Coturnix japonica: one gene and its partners. The protein of the gene in region 2 purifies or fractionates together with the protein of the main gene of each other region. This does not show direct contact. Links are inferred from orthologs where the notes say so. Each region holds a gene or a part of one and is shown on either strand. Other genes may lie near its edges.

What was found. Proteins that work in one complex are often made in the same cells at the same time.
Region 1: the proteins of MED1 (region 2) and MED9 purify together in Homo sapiens (affinity purification with mass spectrometry; 8 studies listed by BioGRID and IntAct, counting the BioPlex papers as one, with this or other methods). This does not show direct contact. The link is inferred for Coturnix japonica from reciprocal best matches to the Homo sapiens genes MED1 and MED9.
Region 3: the proteins of MED1 (region 2) and DNA-directed RNA polymerase II subunit RPB11-a purify together in Homo sapiens (affinity purification with mass spectrometry; 3 studies listed by BioGRID and IntAct, with this or other methods). This does not show direct contact. The link is inferred for Coturnix japonica from reciprocal best matches to the Homo sapiens genes MED1 and POLR2J.

The regions. Positions count from the first base shown.
Region 1 is NC_029529.1:4,802,152-4,810,253, forward strand, and holds MED9 (mediator of RNA polymerase II transcription subunit 9), read left to right. Parts: upstream 1-3,199; 5' UTR 3,200-3,234; coding exon 3,235-3,383; intron 3,384-6,231; coding exon 6,232-6,448; 3' UTR 6,449-7,027; downstream 7,028-8,102.
Region 2 is NC_029542.1:3,840,977-3,846,859, forward strand, and holds the start of MED1 (mediator of RNA polymerase II transcription subunit 1), read right to left. Parts: upstream 4,742-5,883; 5' UTR 4,565-4,741; coding exon 4,537-4,564; intron 3,680-4,536; coding exon 3,573-3,679; intron 3,114-3,572; coding exon 3,035-3,113; intron 2,651-3,034; coding exon 2,596-2,650; intron 2,466-2,595; coding exon 2,333-2,465; intron 2,007-2,332; coding exon 1,978-2,006; intron 1,624-1,977; coding exon 1,552-1,623; intron 1,443-1,551; coding exon 1,368-1,442; intron 1,072-1,367; coding exon 998-1,071; intron 654-997; coding exon 564-653; intron 426-563; coding exon 314-425; intron 20-313; coding exon 1-19. Other genes in the region: CDK12 (cyclin-dependent kinase 12), read left to right, coding at 5,498-5,883. UniProt on the Homo sapiens protein: Component of the Mediator complex, a coactivator involved in the regulated transcription of nearly all RNA polymerase II-dependent genes.
Region 3 is NC_029534.1:3,077,739-3,085,225, forward strand, and holds DNA-directed RNA polymerase II subunit RPB11-a, read right to left. Parts: upstream 4,575-7,487; 5' UTR 4,496-4,574; coding exon 4,443-4,495; intron 4,306-4,442; coding exon 4,216-4,305; intron 4,111-4,215; coding exon 3,936-4,110; intron 2,983-3,935; coding exon 2,947-2,982; 3' UTR 2,604-2,946; downstream 1-2,603. Other genes in the region: LRWD1 (leucine-rich repeat and WD repeat-containing protein 1), read left to right, coding at 48-145, 704-865, 1,442-1,566, 2,247-2,387; ras GTPase-activating protein 4-like, read right to left, coding at 4,696-4,817, 4,922-4,971, 5,043-5,163, 5,235-5,370, 5,439-5,576, 5,648-5,959, 6,028-6,165, 6,594-6,780 and 3 more. UniProt on the Homo sapiens protein: Core component of RNA polymerase II (Pol II), a DNA-dependent RNA polymerase which synthesizes mRNA precursors and many functional non-coding RNAs using the four ribonucleoside triphosphates as substrates.

The sequences.
Region 1 (8,102 bases), on a different chromosome or scaffold from region 2:
ATCAGCGAACATCATGCGATCGCTGGACACTCCCCATGCCCTTGAATCATCCCTCTTCTCCCCCCACGAGGCTCACTGTAATGAAGCATTGGCCTTCATGGCCAGGCCAATGCCCTACAGCTTTGACATCCAGCCCAGAGCCACTGTGAGCTCAGCCCACACTTCTGTGCCACCTCTCGTCCCTGCAGGCTGGGCTCCCTGGGAGAGGTGGCCACTCTCCTCAAGGACAGCAACTCTGATGTGTCACCCGATGGCTCTATACCCTGTGATGGGGCACACGGGTTCCCCTGCAGCTGGTCACCCTGATAAAGTGAGGTGAGCTCTGGGAAGCACCAGAGTTCTTTGGATGTGTCTGGGTGATGCTCAGCTTATGGATCCTCCCATTTCTATCCACACACCACAGAGAACTGGGGACACCAGAGCCCTGAAACAGATCCTCAATGACACCAGAATTCAAGACAGGTCAGATCCGAAGGCCAAACTTCCATCTGGTCACATATAGGGGGATGCTGGTTAGGAATCTCAGCAGTTGCAGGCTCACCTCTGAGGACAAAAGGACAGAGTCCCTGTGCTGCTGACCACAGCCCCAGGCTGGTTGCCCAGAGGAGCTGTTACTTCTTGTTCCTATCGCCCCATGCCAGGTGGCCACAACCCCAACACCATCTCTCTCATTCAGCAGTACAGACTTATCCCACTGCAGCAGCTCAGCAAGCCTAAGATAGAAAATTCAAGCTGACAATGAGCTATCGGGGCAGGACAAAGAGATAAAGTTCAACCTGATGATAGCCACACAATAAAAAATGATAACAGAGCTGGTGGCAATGGCACAGGCAGCTCCAGATAGCCTGGCAGAGAGAAGCAGAGCCTGGTGACATGCCAGATCATCCATACAGAAATGTCAGGTCATTGTAAGGGAACATTGGTGAGATGCAGAGCTGTGTGGTGCTCAATTAGATAACTGCTGGTAGCCCCCCTCCTGAAATTATCTTTGGAAGCAGACGTGAGAAGTAATTTGTATAGAAAGACAGGGGGAAAAAGGAGGTGATGACTGGTACTGTAAGGAAACAGGCAATAAGGGGTATTGGATACACTTTATTTGATCAGTCGTTTTTTAGGATAACGGATTAACCAAATGGTAGGGCAAGCAATAAAGTGTATGGGATGGCTTTAAGACATGGAAGGTCTGGAGACCTCCACGAGAGAGCAGCAAGAGAGCCAGACACAGCCCTCCCATCTGAGATGGAGACCTGCAGAGTGCAGAGATCATATTGAGTATGTTGTCTTCCCATTAGGAACTTCATCACAAGATGTAAGCCAGGTCACCATCTCACAGGGATAAAGGCCTCACAGCTTGGAGCACTGTAAGGGCAGCTGAAGATTAGGGCAGTGCTCCTTGGCCCAAAAAACCTCTTCTTCCTTCCCAGGCCTGTCAGCTGGGTCTTTACCCTCCCTGAAGTCTTCACCGAGGCTATGGACACACCAGTCATGGTACAGACAACAGGCAGACATTCAAACAGTAACTGTGCACTCTGGTCCCATCAATTCACTGGTGTCTTCAGTGATGGAGGAGCCAGTGGCACCATTTCCTCACTGCAAAACATGAACATGCCTAACCAGCCCTGAAGGATGGAGATGGGTCACCTGAAGGAGCTGTTCTCATGAGGAAGGGAAGGTGTGAGGCAGACAGGGCTGAACACCACTGAGACAAAGCTGTAGATTCCAATTGCTGTGGGAACACGTGAACCAAAATGGGAACGGAATGGTACAAAGAAATTCTGATTGACAGTGCTGTAGTTCTGCCTGAATGGTATCTGCATGTTGTCACCTACTCTAATGACTGCCTGACTCACCCATGAGAGGCAGGCATCCAGCAGCCTAGCAATTAGCCACACTCCTTGATAAAGTCTAGGGGAGAGTTAAAACCAGCACAGCACAGAATAAAATGACCCCTGAGGAGCCTGAATCAAGTCTTGCTTTAGAAACAGCCCATAAAACGACGTGCAGAAATGAACCTCTCTGCTCAGCCCCACACAAAGGCATTAGCATCCTGTACCTCCTGCTTGGTTCAGTCAAGGGCCATGAATCCCACCAGCCTTCCCGCAGGGATCTGCTCAGCAGGTCCTGGGCACCCCTGGGCTCTCCTGCACATTCCAGAACTGGTGACCAAGCCGGGATCTATTCTTGACAGTAGAACAATGTGAACAATTGCATCTGCTATATTTAGAGCGAGCAGTCAATAATACATACGCACAAACGGTTACCAGCGTTCTCATTTGATACATAAATAGTTCGCTTTTCAAAAGAAATTGTTTTTTAAAATGAAAATTACCTTTCCCGTCATCCCTGGGCTATAACTAACTGATGAACCCGGGAGCTGAATTCAAATAAAAAACAAAATTATCTGTGCTCTCTAAGCCAATCCAGGAAGGATAACTCACGACTGTGGCTGCTGTTATCAGTGCTACAATAGTGTGTATTGACAGAGCGGTTTAAACGCGGCAGCAGCAGTTTGCTGAAGCACACTCCTGATGGTGCACAGGGGCAGCACTGCTCACCCTCACCTTCCATGCAGCGTGTTCTCCATCACCCCCTTGCACTCACAGCCCAGGCACCCAAGAACCCCACCTCTCCCCTCCTTGCAGCTTCATGGATGTCTCAGCCCTGCTGCTGGATTTTTGCCTCCATTCCTTCAGGTTTCTCCAGTTCCAAGCCCTGAAAGCCCTTCTCTTCTCCAGGCTGAACTCCCTCAGCCTGCCTTTATATGGGAGAGGTGCTCCAGCCCTCACAGCATCTCCATGGCCCTCCTCTCCAACGAGGACAGCCAGGAACAGTTGGGCTGCACACAGGTCAGGGATGCTGTAGGTCACACTGTGGGGTGCTCAGTGTGGGTGTGCAGGGCACTGCCTTGGGAGCACAGGCCCGGCTCAGCTGGGGAACACCTCAGCAGCAGTGCAGTCCCATATCTGAGACCCAGTCCCAAAGCTTGACCCCGGGCTCAGCCCCCACACCCACCCTCACAGCCCAGGACCCAGGGAGGCCTCCGAGCCCCGCTCCGGCCCAGGCCTCAGCCCCAGGCCACGGCCCGCAGCATCCCCACACCCCAACCTCCTGCCCAGGCCCAAACTGAGCCCCACACACAAGCAGCATCTGATGCTCAGCCCAGGCCGCCGCCGGGGCGGTACAGAGCGGCCGAGCTCCGCCCCGCTCCGTCACTGCTCGGCGCCGGGGGCCGCCATGGCCTCGGTGGTGTCCGCAGGCCGAGGGGCCGCCGAGGAGCCGCCGCCGGCCGAGCCGCCCACCGAGCAGAAACCGCCGCCCGCCCCGCCGGCAGCAGCGCAGGAGGAGTTCTCCTTCCTGCCGCTCGTCCACGACATCATCAAATGGTAACGGCGGCCGCACAGCGCCGGGCCGGCCTCACCACGGCATCACCCCGCAGGGATGCTCCCTCTGCCCTTTCTCTCCCCGCTGGGGTCTATGGGGGGGTTGGCAGCTGCTCTGCTCTGAGCCGGGCCCGTAGTTGGGGTCACCGAGGTGGGGCAGGGCCGGGTGTGCAGCAGCAGGAGCCGTGCCGAGCTGTTATTGCCCCGTATTGCTGCTCTGATGGGCTGATAAGTAAAGGACGGGCAGTCCCAGGGCAGCACTGTCTGTTTCTGGGCGTTGGGAGAAAGAGGAAGGCTTGTGCAGGCTGAGTCATCCTCTTTCCTGTTCAAAATCAATGCTGTGGGGTTAAAGGTGTTCGTACGAGGGTCCTGACAACCAGCGTTTGTGGCCCAGGGTAACCCTGTCAGAAATGTTTGAGTTCCCGGTAGGGGCATCGCCCTGCTGTGACCTGGGCACGTTGCACAGTGATGCAGAGGGCACAGGAAGCGTGAATTCCCACTCCTTGTTGTGGGTCTGACTGCCCTTTCCCTGCACGCTTCTATGGGAGCTGAGGCTGCTTTGTTTCCTGCTGGGGTTCTGTGTGTCTGAGTACCCAGAAGAGGTTCACCCTTATTAACCATGCAGCTGGAGGAGCATGGCAAGGAAAGGCCGAATACCCCACAGACACGGCAGCCTAGAATCTAGCTCTCCTAGATTCAGGAGAGCTATGAGAACTCAAACCCACCCTCCATTTCCCCCCTGCGCTGCCACTGTCCCTGTGCTCAACCCTGCCTGATCCATCCAGAGGTGATGCTGAACCTGCTGCCATCTGTATATGTGTGCAGAGCCAGAGTGAGCCAGATCCACGGGCTGAGACCTCCCAGCCTCCTGTGTGTCACCAAGCAAGTCGTGGCGACCCACAATGACAGTGCTGGGATATCCTGTGCCCTGTCCCTCTGAGCCACCCACTCCCACTGCCCCGCTCCCCCCCAGGTTGGCACACAGCATTTCCTGCACGGGGTGAGCAGACGTAGGTGCTCAGAGCAGCACTGCAGAGGGGTCAGACGGCAGAGCCGAGCAGTGGGATGAGTTGCCTCATGTCCCTGACAGATGGCAAACGTATTATCCTTTAACGCCGCCGCCAGGCTCACAGCCCGGCCCTGCTGTTCTGACACTGACTCAGCCCTGAAGACATTTCACATCTCCAAGGTGACTGTGCTGGGGTGCAGTGATGTATCGCGTACATTTGCTTACATTCAAGGACACGTGTTCCTTCCTGTTGTTTGAGTCCCAAGAAAGTTCTCCCAGGCAGGGCTTGCTGTTACTTTCACCCTTGTATAATCAGATGAGGTTACCTGTGAGGTCCCTGTGCGTGGTGGGTTGTGCTGGTGTATCCAGGAGCTGCAGGTGGGACATGATGGAGTTATGATTTGTTCACAGCAGTGAAGGAGAGCTGGTGGGCAGCTGGGGAGGGTCTGAAGATCTCAGTCCTTGAAGGGAGATCCCAAGCACTGTGAGGCTGTGGCTGGACATTGCATTTAATCCTGTGTAACTGCAGGTAGCTGAACCTCTTCCCACTCTTGCTCTCCCCCCTGCCTTTCCATGCCTGCAGAGGAGCTGCTTCAATTACTTGAAAACTCCCATCAGAAACAAAACAACAACAAGCCTGAAAATAGTTATTCCTTCAAACCAACCAACCAACCAGGCAACCATCCATTCTTTGGATGTGGAGAAGAGAACGAGCTGTGGAAGGACCTGGTCGGCCCTTTGAATCCAGCATGCAGCTCGTGTGGATTAAAGGCAATGCCAACCCATCCTTCCCAGATGTGCAATGTGTGTGTGCCTGTATTTTTCCACTGTCAACTTGACCGTAAACGCCTGCATAATGGGGGTACATTATAGTACCAGCTGCGGTTTTATTTAGAAGGGAGTCATGAATATTTTGTTCCAACAGGCTGTTGAAATGAACGGGACCATCTGGTTAAAAGTTTTGCTCTCAGTCGTGTCACGATTCCCCAAAGTTCTAATCAGGCACCTCTCTGCCCTGGTCATGCCAAGCAGTTTTATTTTGGGCCTGGCTATTGAACAGGCTCCCAGCTTACAGGGGCCGTTAGCAGCCTGCTCTCGTTATTAGCGCTGCCTTGGAAGCAGTCTCGCCTTTGCCTGGAATGGTAAAACTCCTTGCTGTAGCTAACAAAGCTGAAGCAGATACTAATGAGGGTTTGAGGGCAGACGCTGCCTCAGACGACGCTGATCCTCGAGAAGCACGGAGCTGCAGAAGCAATTGTGCTGCTCTTAAAAAATAAGCTGTCGCTTCTCTTTATTAGGTAGACATCCCCGGAGAGTCGTTCTGAAGCTCCGAAATGCCGTTTTCTCTGCCATTGGACACACTCTGGTACTTTGGGGAACGATTCCTATTTTCTGCTGTCAAGCTGTTTGACTGCATCGATTTCTTGTATTGCTTTGACAACAGGTCACAGACGGGGCTGAGGTCTTTTTTCCCAGGTGCCCACACACAACCTGTGTGTGTGTAATCTTACCTTCCCCATATGGGAATTGAAACAGAGTGAGAGGCTGTGGTAGTGTTTGAAAGCTGCAGACCAGGTCTTAACCTGTAGGACTGCAATTAAGGTTACTGGATGGTGTGCTGAAAATGACCAGGAAACCAGTTTGTCCCAGCAGCTGCCTAATCTGTGTATGTGTCTCTGGTGGTTTTGTTGTGATAGGTGTGAATTAGATCCCAGGAGCAAAAGTTTCCCAGTGAATTCCAGCGTAAGCCCTGACCATGCTGGGAATGACAGTCCACCAGCAGGCAGAAGGTCTGTCCAGCAGGAGATGTGAGTCATGCCTCTTGTTTTCTCCCTTCTGCAGCATGGACAAGGATAGCCAGGATGTTCACCAGGTGCTGAACGAGCTCAAGAACAAGTTCCAGGAGATGAGGAAGCTGATCAGCGCCATGCCTGGCATCGGTGTGAGCCCAGAGCAGCAGCAGCAGCAGCTGCAGAGCCTGCGGGAGCAGGTCCGGACCAAGAACGAACTGCTGCAGAAGTACAAGAGCCTCTGCATGTTCGAAATCCCTAAGGAATAGGAAGGGAGCAGCTCTGCAGTCTGAGGCTGGGATGCCTCTTCTCCTGGCTGGAAAGGAGAGGTTTACTTTGTGGGGCTTTTTTTTGTCACGTTCCTGTGACGTTGTGGCTGTGTGGGTCACAGGCATGTGACACTGAACCAGAACCGTTCGTGTGTCCTTCACATGCGATGGTTACAGCAGTGCCTTTGCTTTGATCTGCTGTAGGACTGCGTGCATTTATACATGCAGCTCTTGGGGTTGGCTGTATTTTTTTCATTCAAGCAAGCAGAACACAGTAGGTTTTCTCAAAAGAGAAGGTGGCAGTGCCTGCTGGTTCAGTTCAACAGGGAAAAAAAGGAGGCATTTTCTATATTTTTTCTTTCTCAATCCTGAAATGACAAACATTGAAAGGGAGCAAAGGGAAGCAGAGCTGTTCGGCCTGGAAAGCCTGTTTGTTGGGAAGGGTCTCTGGGGTGCTTTGCAGCCAGTGTGTTGGAAGAGGAACGGTTGCTTTCTGTTGCTTTTGTGTTTTTCTCTCTGTTTTTAAACTGGTCGTTGTGCTTGAGATGAGTCAAGTAAAGGTTAGAAACTCCAAACTGCCCCTCTTGTGTATTCACTGAGTGCACGTGGGCTGAGCGGGGCTGGGATGTGGCAGCCTGGGCTCTGCTCCTCTCTCTTAGCATTGCTTTTTGTTACCGGAGAGCAAAGCAGAGCCTGCCAGGGGAGTGGATTTCAGTGGGCTTTGGTTACGTTGGGCTCCCACACCAACTCGGTGAGCAACACACCGGGCATCCCACTCTTACAACAGAAAAAGTAGGATTAAAACAAAAGGCATAACTGACAGCAGCTTTAGTTATTCCCTAAGCGACACGAGTCAGGCTCAGCAGGACGGATCAGTTCTGTGTCTGAAATGCTCCAGGGGCTTCCCACAAACACCAGCACTGAACGTTCGTCAGACGCTGATGGAAAGCTCTCGAATGTTGTGTTGCATTCAGATGGGGCTCAGAACTCCTTGTCCTCTGTCCTCCTGCTGGGAGCTGCTGGGTGTCGGATGACAACCTGGTGAGCATCTCACCCACTAACAGGTACGTGACAAGCCCTGGGATCTCACCGTGCTGAGTTAACGCTGAAAGGTGGAGCAGCTCAGGAGTGGGAGAGGTGCAAAACGGAGTGGAGAAATACAGCGTCGGATGGGAGCCTGCGTCTGAGAGCAGGTAGCATTCAGATGATGGGAACGGGGTCTGTCTGGGTAGGATTTGGCTTCCCAAAGCCAAGAGGCAAGTAATTACAATTAACGTATTTAATATTGCAGGGAGCTGGGGTGGTTGCAGCTCACTCAGAGATCGCCCTGTCCCCACTGAGCGCTTTGCTAGTGATTTCTTTGGGAAGGTGCCCATGTGTAAACTGGGAGCAAAGCAGAACACCAAGTTAAACAAAGCACAATGTACACTTCTTTATTACCTTCCTGCCAGCCATTCCCCATCCCAGCTCAGTACATTCTTGTGTTTCATGCCTGGACGGAGGTTTCTCCTCTTGGCTTCTGCTCCTGTCAAACCAGGCCGTGCAAAGAGCTGGAAGGAGCGAAGTGTTTCCAAAGAGAAGCCTGGCACTTTGTACAGCAACAAGTGAACTCGACTCCAAGTTTCAGACCAAACTGAAGTGGTTTTGTTTGCAG
Region 2 (5,883 bases):
TGATGAGAACGATGGAGTTCTGGAACATTGAGTTAAAACAAGGTCTTATTAGATGCAGGGCATGAGTCTGGCTCCTGCTATGACTGCCAGACTTGCAATTTACTCTTTTCTCAAATACAAGCAGATTGTTATACTCTCTTAAAAAGTAAAAGACACTCCTCAAAAGTACACCAAAACACACAATTCTCAGCTTCACAAGATATTACAGTATAATGCAGTCATCTCTCCATCCTAACTTCAAAACCAGGCTGAAGTCTGGATTTGCATCTAAATAAGACCAAAGACAGGCCTGGCTGACAGGCCCTTTGCTCACCCTTTGCTGTCCACTGGATGAGAACCCATAATCAGCGGCGCAATGGGAAGTTTGTACATCGCCATGGTTCCCTCAACTGTCACTGACACGTTCATACCCAAAGATCGAGGAACTGCAAGACAAGGCAAGAAACAAAGAACAAGGTAAGCTGATGAATAAAAACCAAAGCTTTACAAATTATCCCAAGTGGAAATACATCAGTTTCTCCATGTAGCAGAGTAGTCCGCAGTGGCTTTCACAAGTGACCTACCATTGCTCTCGTGCAAAATAACAGGGGCTCCAGTGCCATCTTCAAATAAGTCATAGGGAGAGACGTAATACTTGAGATTCATAAGGAGACCTGAAGGAGAGAGGCTTATGAACAAGCATCTGGATGATGTAATTGAACCCAATCGTTATTAACCCCTGTAAGCACATAACATATGCACTGTAACTCTGCACAGAGCTTCTACAGCACCTTGAAAGAGCTGTCAAAGACTGGACATGGCCAACTGGCACAGTATTGCTATGCATGGCTTTGTAAAGGAGAACCAGCTTTCTAGATCATGTGGGACTTACAAATCTTCCACCACCCTGTCCCTCTATGATTAGCATTTTTCATTATTATCATTGGTTAATATCGATAAAGGGGACCCTGGACAAAATCATCTTTTCCTTTCTTTCTTAAGTGTTAACCAAAGATACCTCCGCTCCTGGGGGTGAGATAGCCAACACTGCCATGAAGAATCTTGTCCAGTGGGTTTGCATTGGTGGCTTGCCTGCAAGAGAGGCCATCACCAGTTTGTAATGAGCCAAAACCACATCTGAAGCCACAACTCATGTGCTGATGGAAGTCTGAAGATCTCCTCTTACCGCTCTCCTCTGCTAGCACAGCCTTTCTTAGACTTCAGACTTGTACTTTTTAGCAACAGTGTAATACAATACAGTGCCAATACATAGGCACTGGTACAATACTTCATGGATATACAGTGCTTGGCATGATTAACAACCAGGCAACGTGATACAGCAACTCAACCACCACAAAGCAAGCAGCAAATGGTAACAATGTGCTTACCAATACATCCCTGCCATTTTTGAGAGATCCAGCTCCAAGGACTGAAGGGCCAAGTACATTTTAGTTTTGAGTTTGCTGGGAATAAGGAAAAAAAAGGAAGAAACCATAAGAAAAATTAAAAGGCTTGAAGTCTTGTTCGCTTTCATACACGCAGTTGTAAATACATTGCATATTCTAGACTTACTTGTCTCCTGGCAACTTATAGAGGTTCACAAGCCCCCGCAGATGCTTAGAAAACTCATCAAAATTTTTCTCTCTGAAAGTAAAAGAGAGAAATGTATTCAGATCTGTTGTAGATAAGGCTTTGTTTTTAGAGGTTACACTAATACAAACACTAAATCACTTCAGAATAGGTTTTTGCTATATGAAAGCTAAACAATGCGTTCTTTAAATGATCCAGCTTTAATGATTCTGGTGAACGCTTTGCTGTGCCTTCCAAGATAACATGCACAGCAGTTAGGGTGAGAAACATCTGAAGCAAAGCCAGAAGATCTCCTGGAGAAGGGGAGAGACTTCATGGGGAAAGAGCAGTTCAGAAACGTTCTGTGTTTCCAAGCATAAAACAGAATCAGACCAAAATCAGAATGATGCAACAGCTCTTGTTGCTCACCTCAGATGTTGCACCAATTCTGGACAGCTCTGAAAAGGAAAGAACACACAGCAAAATCAACATCAAATGCTTCAGTGTAAGTCTTTGTGCAGCACAGCAGCTGTAAAATATCAGGACAGTGAAGTCTGTGAGCATCAGTTTTGATGAGAAGCAACAAAACACTCACAAATACAAGATTAATTTCCCTATTCTTCCCCCAGAAATGAAACTTTCAGAAGCAGCAGAACAAGCAGATATAACATTAGGTTTGGGGGAATGTTCAGTACAATCCATTTTCTCTGCACAAGAAAAAGGGAAGCAAAACTGCAGTTCCAAAAACAAAGGTATTTTTCTTGTATTTCTTAGCAATACGTACCACAGGATTCTCTCCATGGTGAGCCACCTTGACATCACATAGCAGCCCTGTAGGATCTAACTGGACTTCCACATAGAACATGTCTGAAGTGATGTAACATTCGGTGCCATTTGCACTGAGGTGTGATCCAAGGCTTAAATACAAAACAAAGCAAAAATTACTAAGAGATACACACAAGAAACAGTCAAACCAGCAGCAAAATTATGATGTATACAGATAAGTAGGAGATACAAAACTGCTGTGAAACAAAGGAGAAGATGTACCCATTTTGTCTGGCTATGGACTCCAGGCGATCTGTCATGGCAGGCAGAGAAGACACTAGACAAAGAAAGCAAAAATAAGCCTTAGTGATACGACTGAACATCTTTCCAGTAATGATGTATCAGCATTAAAAGCAATCCCAACTACTTACTCACACCCACTCCATACTCAAAAAACAAGAATCGTTTTGCATAGAGAAAAACAAACATTCTCAGTGTGGATTTTCATCCACAAGTGGAATCCATGTATGGGCAATAAGAATAAAAGCAACACAGGCAATTTTGGCTGATAATGACTCACAAGAAATAAGCATGCTTCTATAAGCACCACGAGCACACTGAGCTTTGCAAGCAATAACCTCGCAGGTTCCTCTAATACAGAGTATTTCCATAGTATATCACTGTTAAGCATTTCCTGAGTGCAGGCACAGCACGTACCAACCTTTTAATGCTTTTTGCAAGGTCTCCAAACAGCTCACCAGATGTTGGTGCCCCCCAGAGTTCATCACAAGTCGTTTTTCCTACGTCAGAAAGAAGAAAAACAGTCGTTTTAAAGTTTCACTCCATGAGAGGAAAATTACTGCAATTTTCATTCAGTCGAGTGAGGTTTATTCAGGTAATTAAAGGCAGATTGGATTTCATCCCCAAATTACACCCTCATTGCGATTCCTGTACCAGAATCATATCCATATTTGCAGTGGGTAAAACAGGCAGGTCTGGAATTGATTATTAAGCTTGCTCTTGTGAAAGATCAGACTGCAACAACTTCTTAAATAGCATAAGCTACGAGTTATATGAGAGGAGCAAGAGAAACAAAGAGAGATTAACTTTAACACCACAACACATACAGCAGCTTTTGATGATGCTCTTCCCTGCCTCCCACTCCTTTCTACCCTCACCAAGGTATTTCAAAGCTGCATCTGACTGAGATAACACTGAGTGTTGAGCATCACTGTAAAGGAAACCCCAGCACTTCTCACCATGACTTGACGGACCAGCTTCATGGTTTCAGTCCAAGGTCTGTTTTGGTTGTACTTTGCATGAAGTCTTTCTAAGAGAGCACTCATCTTATTCAGCTTCTCTGCCTCTGTCAGACAAAGCGGAATGAAAACATAGAAACAAAAGAGAACGTGAGCTGATTGCACAGCCCTTCCAAGCCGGGACACACTCAGCCTTTATAAATGTGTGCTGAATCCAATCTATACATTGTGGGGCTCTAAAACTCATTGTAGCACTTTATTAAGTTACATTGTTATGGAAGGCATCTCCCTGATACCAGGTATTTCTGGCTCCAACACAAGTCTATGGCAACATAACTGCCATAGAACATGACCCTACAAGGCCTATAGAATCAGAAGGGTTTATAAACTGATACACACAGATGTCATGGACTTAATGCCAACCCCATCAAATCAAAGCAGAACAAACAACCGAACGGTTCGCTACCACAGGAGCCCATCAGCCTTTATTTCCATCCACCACAGCCCCGCTCTGGAGCTGCTTAATGCCCAGCTTTGAGACCCATTGAGACCCATGGGGACCCCATTGAAGCCCATTCAGACCCATAGAAACCCACTGGGACCCATAGGGATCCATAGAGACCCAAAGTGGGGAGGGGACCCGACGACCCACACATGGTGAGTATGGACCCATAGGGACACATAGAGACCCCATAGAGACCCATAGGGACCCATAGAGATCCCATAGAGACCCATAGGGACCCATAGAGACCCATAGGGACCCATAGAGACCCCATAGGGACCCATAGGGACCCATAGGGACCCATAGAGACCCCATAGAGACCCACTGGGACCCCACGGCCGGGCTCCGCCGTTCCCTGCAGGCCCAACCGCCGTCCCTCGAGCTGTGGAACCCCCCCCATCCCGAGGAGGCCGGGCCTTCCCTCCGCCTCCACACAGCGCAGCCCCGCTAGGCCGCACTCACCCTCAGCGCCTCCCGGCACCGCCTTCATGCCTCAGGGAGGGGAGGGGCGGCCCGCGGCGGAGCCACAGGGCCGGTATCACGTCGATAAACGGGAAGGGATGGGGATAAACCGCGGCCGGGCCGCTCCGCTCCGGCCTCACACGGCGGCGCCCGCCGCCATCCCTCCGGCCGCGGCTCCCGCTTCTCGCGAGAACTTCTGAGTCTCGCGAGAGGTAGGGAGTCATGGTGAGAAGGGGGAGTGATTAGGGGGCGGGGCGTTGCGCTCAAGCCCCGCCCCCTGGATGCTGATTGGTGCTGAGCGGGCGGAAGGGGCGGGGCTTCGTGCGCTCCCCGGGACGGAGTAAAGTTCGTTCTCAGACCTCGCGAGAAGACGGTGCGCGCGCGCGCACTCCCTTCCGCCTTCCCAATTCTCAGCGCTTGAAATCTCGCGGGGGGAGGGCTCAGGCCGAGTCTCGCGAGAAGCAGCAGTTATCTCGCGAGACTTGGCGGGTGCCCCCCTTGGGCCGAGGAGCCGTTTCGCTTTGGGAAGTGAGCGGGGGGCGCTGGGCCGGGCCGGGGCGGCGGGGACCGAACGGGGCCGCACGGTGGGAACCCGGTACTGAGGGTTGGGACAGGGCGGGAGGGAACCGGACACAACGGGACCGGGAGGGATCGTGGGCCCAGCTCCCGCCTTCCCGGGGCTCCCCCCGCGGCGGCGCTGCCCTCCGGGCCTGGGCCCCTCGGATGAGGCGCTGAGGCCCGGTGTCCTTCCCCGCCGCTCCCGGTTCCGTTCCTTTCCCATTCTCCCTCTCCCCGTTGTTCCCTTCCTCCTCGCTCTCTCCGTCCCGCTCCCCATGCAGCAGGAGGTGCCGGGGGGCGGTGAATGGTTCGAATAGAGGGAGGCTGAGGGAGTTGGAAAGTCGAGGAGGATTTGGAGGAGCGCCCCCGCCTCCCCCTGTCCCAGCACAGTGGAGGAGGAGGAATGCCAAACCAAGAGAGACATGGGGGGAAGAAGGATGGGGGCGGCGGGGGGACCTCGCTGCACTCATCGGGCAGCTCCAATAGCAAGGAGAGGCACCGGGTGGCTTCAAGGCATAAGAGGCATAAATCCCGGCACTCCAAGGAGTCACCGTTGGCCGCCCAAGAGACGGCGGCGCCTCTGGGAGCTGTGATCAAACCGTTGGTGGAATACGATGATATCAGTTCGGATTCGGATACGTTCTCGGATGATTTGGCCCTTAAGTTGGACAGGAGGGAGAATGAGGAGAGGAAAGCGGATAGGAGCGAAAGGACGCAGAAACATCGACACCACCAGCACAAACGTATCCGTGAGCTGATGAAGAGCAAACAGGCAGAGAAAGAGAGGAA
Region 3 (7,487 bases), on a different chromosome or scaffold from region 2:
AGTGCTGCTCATTCAGGGCCTGAATTATTTCACTCTTCCTTCCCCAGACCTTTTGAAGCCTCATTCAAATTTCCTGATGAGGAGGGAGAAATGTCAGCGTCTCACAGGGTCGATGGTTTGGCTTTTCTGAATGATGATGTCGTAGGTGAGTATAAACGGGGTGGCCAGATCTGTAAGAAGTCAGGTACCTCGGTGTGGAAGGATAATGCAGAGGAAGTAAATGGGGTGTAACTGCATCTACTGTAGATTCTGGAGGGCTGCACTCAATGGAGTTTCCTTCTAGACTCACTGAGCTAAAAAGATGAGATATGGAGTCATGTCTGAGCAGAGCTGGAAAAAAAAGACAGACCCAACACAGCAGACTTTGCTTAGCAGTGCTGAAATGGAAGGGAAAGAATCCTTTGCTGTTGGAGGGCTGCTAAAAGCCCTTTGCAGAGGATTGGGTCCCACAATTTGGAGGCTCTGTAAGGCCTAGAGTGGGTCTTTCTGAACAGCTCTGCTTGTTGCAGTTTTGGAACATGTGTAGGACTGGGAATCCCCCTGAAATTTCCAATTATCCTGAATTAAGGTAAAAGAAGCTGAAGTAGTTGCTGCTGCTGTCAGATCCCATGTCTTGAAAGCCACTTTCTAGATGGACTGCCTTCCCCAGCTGTTCTGAAGCACTTCTCAGCACCTTTACATCATCTTCTGTTTTCTTCCCTAGTTTCCAAGAGCTCCAAACCAGGATGCATTTACTTATGGAGCTGGAGTTGTTCTTTTGACACGAAGAGGAAAGGAAGCCAGCGAACAGTGCCTGCAGTTATTCTAGCTGAACTGGAGTGGTCCACAACAGACTTGTCTTATCTCACACTCAGCACCTGCCCAGGTAGGCAGCACCCTTCTTCAGCACTCCCAAGTAACAAGGCTGCACCAGAGGCTGCCATACTGCTCAAGGTTTACTTGTTTACAGTTGCAAATGCCTCCCACTTGCTGGAGGAGCCTGTTGTTTAAAGCAGAGGAGTGGATTTAATGCCCAGGCTAAGAGAGCACAGCTGGCCTGCCACTGTGAGCAACAGGAATCCTTAACTTGCAGCACTGCAATCCCAGCACAGTGCAGCTAATGGGCACCTGCTGCATATAAATACTTGAGGCTGTTCCTTGGCTTTTAAAGGCAGAGGTGTTTTACCTCGCTGTGATACACCTGTCACAATGCAGTGTAAGGCTAATGAGGAGTAAAGAAACCTGATCTGAGCATTGCTTTTCAAATCTATGGAGTCCGAATGGGGGTTCCAGAGCTGGGTAGTTTAGTGGGGTGGGTTTTTCTTTGGTGCCAGAAAGATAATTCTGATGGAATGTAACATCCTCCATTGAGAGGGTAAAGCGCTGCCTGGAGCTCAGCTTTATAATAGAATGGACCCTCAGCTCCACTCTAATTTCCCTGCTTCTTCTTTTAATCTTACAGCAAAACTGCATGTGTTCTGCGGTGATGAGAAGGGAAGTGTGTGGATTTACCACCTCTCCGACTACACCACAGCATGGAGCTCTGCCAAGGGAAAACACTCAGACAAGAGAATCCCGCCCACACAGGTAGGTCTCATTTACCCTCTGTGTCAGAGCTGTGCTTCCCTTCCTCCCCAGGGCAGCTCTCTTGAGTTTCACACCAGAACATGCCTCGTATCTTCTCTACCTAACATTCACAGCCAATTAAAACCAATCTCCAGAGTGTGACCAAGGTCACTTCCAATCACACACACAATTATGACAGGGATTATGAGCTGCAAAGCAAATTTGTTCACTCCTGTGTGCTGCAGCTTGTCAACTTTTCCTTGGGTAAAGGCCTCTCTGTAAAAAATATGATTGTTTGACTATATATGGCCTGGCAACACAAGCTGTTCCTGCGCTGCTGTCTGGTGTGCAGCCACTGTTTCCCTGTCTGGATGAGTGGAGGTAACAGCAGCAGCTGCTCCTTGGTAGAACTGCATGTGGGGAAGGGGAAGCTTCTGGCCTGTGTTCCTGCTTCTCTTTTGCTCATTCTTTTCCTGAGCACACTCCTGCTGTGGGTCAGTAGTGTGCCCTAACAACTACACATTCACAAAGGCTGTGAGGCACGTGTGGTCTTAGCTCTAACTGTATCTGGTAGGGATGTGACCTCTTTGGACCCCACCCAGCTCCAGTTGTCAAACCAGGCTTTGCAATAATTGATATTGCCCAAGTTTCATGGACAATGATACCATTCCTTTCCTACACAAACTCTGTTCTCCCTGTAGATTCTCAAATGGCCGGAGCTTCAAGCAAATGGGGAACACCTGAGCGAAGTCTACATAAACAACGTGATAACAGACCCTACTTTCACTTACCTTGTTGCTCTCACTAGTGTGAACATTACAGCCATTTGGAAGAAGTCATAGTTCCTTGTTATAGAAGTTCATTCCCCGTGTTTTGAAATAGTGCAGTATTAGTGACTGTTACCCATATAACCATAAAGTTTTCTAGACCAGCTGTTACGTGCAAAAGGTAAAAGAGTTCGTTAAGCACATCCAGTCATCCAGGCTTTTTTCCTGTAAGTTTACACAATTTGTGCATTTGTTTTATAGAAATGACACTTAATAAAACAAAACAACAACTCTGCTGGCAGAATCTGAACTTCTTGGAATGGGAAACCAGGGCTGTGACCCGTTATTGCCACTCAGCATCTCCTCATTGCCATAAGGGCAGTGAGACTGAGCTACAGCATAGTGCACATAGTGACAGTGAGGCTCCAGTTAGAAAAGTGAAAACCATTTTAGTGAATTAAGCCATGAAATCAAACAAGACATGTCAGATACAAACATCCCCTCCCAATACTGCTGCCAAAGTCAGTAGGACTGGAAGGAAAGTAATTGGCATTGAATGAAGGTTTAAATAAAGCATTTCACTCAGACACATCGTTCTTCATCAGCAGTGTATCACACTAAGAGCAGGCTGATTTCACTCGATTCCTTCTTGTTTGTCTTTAATGGCAACCTGTAAAGAACAGAAACAGAACCGTCAGTGGATGGTTTAAACACTGATTTCATCAATTTCACATCAAACAACAACTGCATGAGTTCAGGGGAGACCTTATTGCTCTATAACTTCCTGAAGGGAGGTTGTAGTGAGCTGGGGGTTGGCCTCTTCTCTTGTGTTATCAGTGATAGAACTAGAGGGAATGGTTTTAAGCTGCGCCAGGGGAGATTCAGGCTGAACATTAGGAAGTTTTACTTTGCGGAAAGGGTAGTCAGGCATTGGAATGCACTGCCCAGAGAGGTGGTGGAGTCACCGACCATGGGAGTGTTCAAGAAAACGTCTGGATGTTGTGTTGTTGAGTATGATCTAGCCGGGAAGTATTGGGAATGGTTGGACTAGATGATCACAGAATGACCCGGGTTGGAAGGAACCTCAAGGATCATGTAGTTTCAACCCCCCTGCCTGGCAGGGCCACCAAACATACACATTTACTAGATCAGGTTGCCCAGGAGACCCCATAGATTCCCCATAGAGACCCCATAGATCAGGTTGCCCACGGCCCCGTCCAACCTGGCCTTGAACACCTCCAAGGACGGGGCATCCACAACCTCCCTGGGCAGCCTGTTCCAGGGCCTGACCACTCTCCTAGTGAAGAACTTCCCCCTGACATCCAACCTAAATCTTCCCTCTTTTAACTTCAAACCATTTCCCCGTGTCCTGCTATTGTCAGCCCTTTCCAAGAGTTTACTCCCCTCCTGGTTATAGGTTCCCTTCAGGTTCTGAAAGGCTGCAATGAGGTCACCCCGCAACCTTCTCTTCTCCAGGCTGCACAAACCCAACTCCCTCAGCCTGTCCTCATAGGGGAGGTGCTCCAGCCCCCTGATCATCTTCGAGATGGCAGCAGCTCTGGGCTGAGCCCTTCCCTTAGGTTCAAAGGATGGGCTTCTCGCAGTGCTCAGAACTGAGCTCACCCTGAATCTCTCCTCCAGCAGGGACAGCTCGCTGATCAGGTCGGTGATGGCGTTGGTGAAGGCCTCCTGGGGGCTGTAATCCGGGGTCGTTTGGACGCGGATGATGATTTTATGTTCCAGGGGGTGCGGGACCTTGTAACCTGCAAACAGCACCTGGGGGTCCTTCAGCAGCTGCCTGGGGGAGGAGGCAAAGCAGCAGCAAACAAACATACATTAATAGATGTAAGAGCTTTATAAGAGCCCCAGCACTTGTAAGCAGCGCCCAGCTCCCTCAGCTCACGACTTGATGATGTTTCCCAGCGTGTGATCCTCCTTGTTGATGGTGAACAAACAGGCGTTGGGCACCTTGGTGTCCTTGTTGATGGTGATCCTACACAGCACAGGGGGCGGCGATTCACTGCCACAGCCCGGGCGGACATGGGGGGAACCGGGGGGGCACGGGACGGTCCGGGCAGCCCCCAACCCCCCACCGGACCCCCCCCATCCTCCATCCCGCCCCCTACTCACTTTTTCTCCCCTTCGAACAGCAGGAACGACTCAAATGCTGGCGGCGCGTTCATCCCGCCGGCTCCGCACCGCTCCCCGCAGCGCACACAGCGTCACTTCCGCCCACAGCGCCCCCTGCCGTGCGGGCGGACCGTGCGCAGTGCGCTATAAAGGCACGGACACGGAGCGGGTGGAGCTGCGCATTTATTGCCACGCTGCGACCCCCCCCCCCCCCCCCCCCCCAGCCCCATCCCGGCACATCCCGGTCCGTCCGTCACGTCTGCGGCTCCGGCAGCTCCTGCAGGGGGGGCTGGGCCGGGGGCAGCCGGCGGTGACAGCGCTCCAGGTCCTGCAGCGCATCCAGGAGCCGGCGGAGCGCGGGGGTCAGCGGTGGGGCTGGGGGGGGGGGAGAGCGGGGCGGTGAGACCCCCCGGGAATGGGAGCAGCCCCAGAGCACAGCGCCTATGGGGGGGATGGGGAGCTGGGGGTCCTTTCTCTACCTTCTCCGTTCTGAGGGTCCCCCGGCTCCATGAGCTGCCGGCACTTCTCCCTGCGGATAAAGGGGCTGTTGGCCGCGGGGCAGGGGGCGCTTTGGGGGCTGCCCCCGGTTGTGGGTCCCACCTGAGGGGCTGCTGCAGCCCGTGCAGGTGCTGGAAGAGCCGCTGCGCCTCCACGTCGGGCTGCAGCGGGTCGGTCCAGTCCTGCAGGGTGATGCTGTGCCGGGTCCGGCCGCAGCCCGGTCCTATGGGACAGAACAGGGGCTGAAAATAGCGGGGACATCACCACCCCCACCCCCCACCCAGCAGCCCGTACCCGTCCTGTCCTTCTGGTGGCAGCAGCTCCATTTATCCCCCCTGAAGACCCCGGGGTGGTAGGAGCGCAGCAGCTGCGGGTTGTTGCCGCACACCTTCCTCAGCGCAGACAGCCACTGGTTCAGCTCATTGACACACTGCGGGTTAAACAGCGAGGTCACACAGTACCCCAATGGGAAACAGCCCCGTCCCCATCCCAGCCCACCTTGCACTGCAGATACGCCGTCTCCTGCTGCCCGGCCTCATCCACATAGACCACCTGCATGACGTGGCAGCTCCCAAAGCTTTTCTCCTCCACCTTCTCGGCCGCTCGGATGTTGGCCAAAGCGATGGAGCCGCATCTCTGCCATTGGGGACACAGCGCTCGGTGCCCTCCGTGCCACCATGGGATCCCACCACCCCACGTCCCCCTACCTCTGCCCCGGGGCTCTTGCTGAAGCTGAGTGCCTCGCTGGTGAGGCAGAAGTGCAGCTTCTTGGATGCAGAAGCAAGCAGCGGCCCTTTGCCCCGTGTCTTATGGACAAACAGCAGCCCCTCCTTCACCACGTTGCTGCGGGGGGCACAGGGCTGCTCCTCTCCACCCTCCTCCTCCTCCGTGCCCACCAGGCGGGTGATGAAGGCCCTCATCTGGGAGGCTCCGTGCTGCAGGGCGGGCTGCAGCGGGGCCAGCCATTCCTCCTTGGCTCTCCCTGCCGCTGGCTCCATGTTGCCCACCATCTGCACGGCCTGCAGACCACGGCATGGTGGAGTCGTTGCCCCCAGTGCCACCCCGCTGTGCCCATGTCCCAGCTCACCTTGGCCAGCAGCAGCAGCGTGCGGCTGGTACGTGCATCAGCGTGTGTCTCCCTCAGGTGGAAGAGTTTGGGGGTCATGATGGCGGGGGAGAAGAAGCGCAGGCACAAGAAGCTGGTGACAGCCACGAACTGAGTGTGCTGCAGCCACCGGGGGCAAGAGATGTGTGAGGGTCCATCCCCATGGCACCATCCCTCATGATGCTTCAGGGTTGGATGATCCTCACAGCCCACAGAATCACAGAATGACCCAGGTTGGAAGGGACCTCAAGGATCATGTAGTTCCAACCCCCTGCCTGGCAGGGCCACCAAACATACACCTTTACTAGATCAGGTTGCCCATGGTCCTGTCCAACTTGGCCTTGAACACCTCCAAGGACGGGGCATCCACAACCTCCCTGGGCAGCCTGTTCTAGGCCCTAACCACTCTCCTAGTAAAGAACTTCCCCCTAAGCCCACCCAGTTCCAACCCCCTGCCTTGGGCTGGTTGCCCCCCCACCAACTTAAGTCACCCATCATCAAGCCATTGGCCCCATTCCTCCATCCCCACTACTGGGTTTGGAGCTGACCTGATGCTGGGGGAAGCGCTCCCCGACACGCTGGAAGAGCTGCCGGAAAGCAGCACGGATGACAGGAGGGCAGGTAGGAGCCGATTTACTGATGGCATCTAAGAGCTCCCCGAGGTAGGACTGCAGGAGCTGGCGGCCCTGCTCCATCACCTCACTCTCTGTCTGCACCCGGTGCAGCCCCGAGCACCTGCGGGTGCACAGACCCCATCAGTCCCATGGACTCTGAGTACCCCCACCCACTGCAGCCCCTGTGCCCCTTACCCAACGTCCTTGATCTCCACCTTGCTGGGGTCCAGCTCCACGTATTTCTTCTCCTCAAACACCCTGGAGATGGTGGGTCCCAGCACCGCATGCAGGTACTGCATCCCTGTCACCTGCCCAGGGGACCACAGCACCCAACCTTAGGGGGTTTTCTCCAGCTCTTGGCCCCAGAGGCAGACACAGCTCCCCATGTCCTTCCCTTAGGACAGCATGGAGCTGTGGTGAGCTGGAAGGAGCAGGGTTTGGGGTGAAGCTTCCTGCGGACAAGGGGGATTTAGGGGCAACAGCACCTTGAGGAAAGACTCCATTGACTTTGAGGCCAGGGAGTTGCTCCGGAACAAAGTGTTGGGTTCACCTGAGAAACAGGAGGAAGCCAGTGGAGCAGCCCCAGGTACCCACCAGGCATTTCTACCCTACCCTGGAGTTACAGGGATTCTCCAACCAAACACCTGCCCATTCCTCCACCAACTACAGCCAATGATGATGATGAACCCAACGTGTTCCCAACCAGAGCACACCAGAAGTTTTACAGCTCCAAATGAAGGTAAGGAAGACGCAGCCCTGCTCCCAACTCAGGCTTACAGGGCTTGGCCAGCTCCAGCTCAAAGAGCAGGTCCAGAAACTCCTTCACCA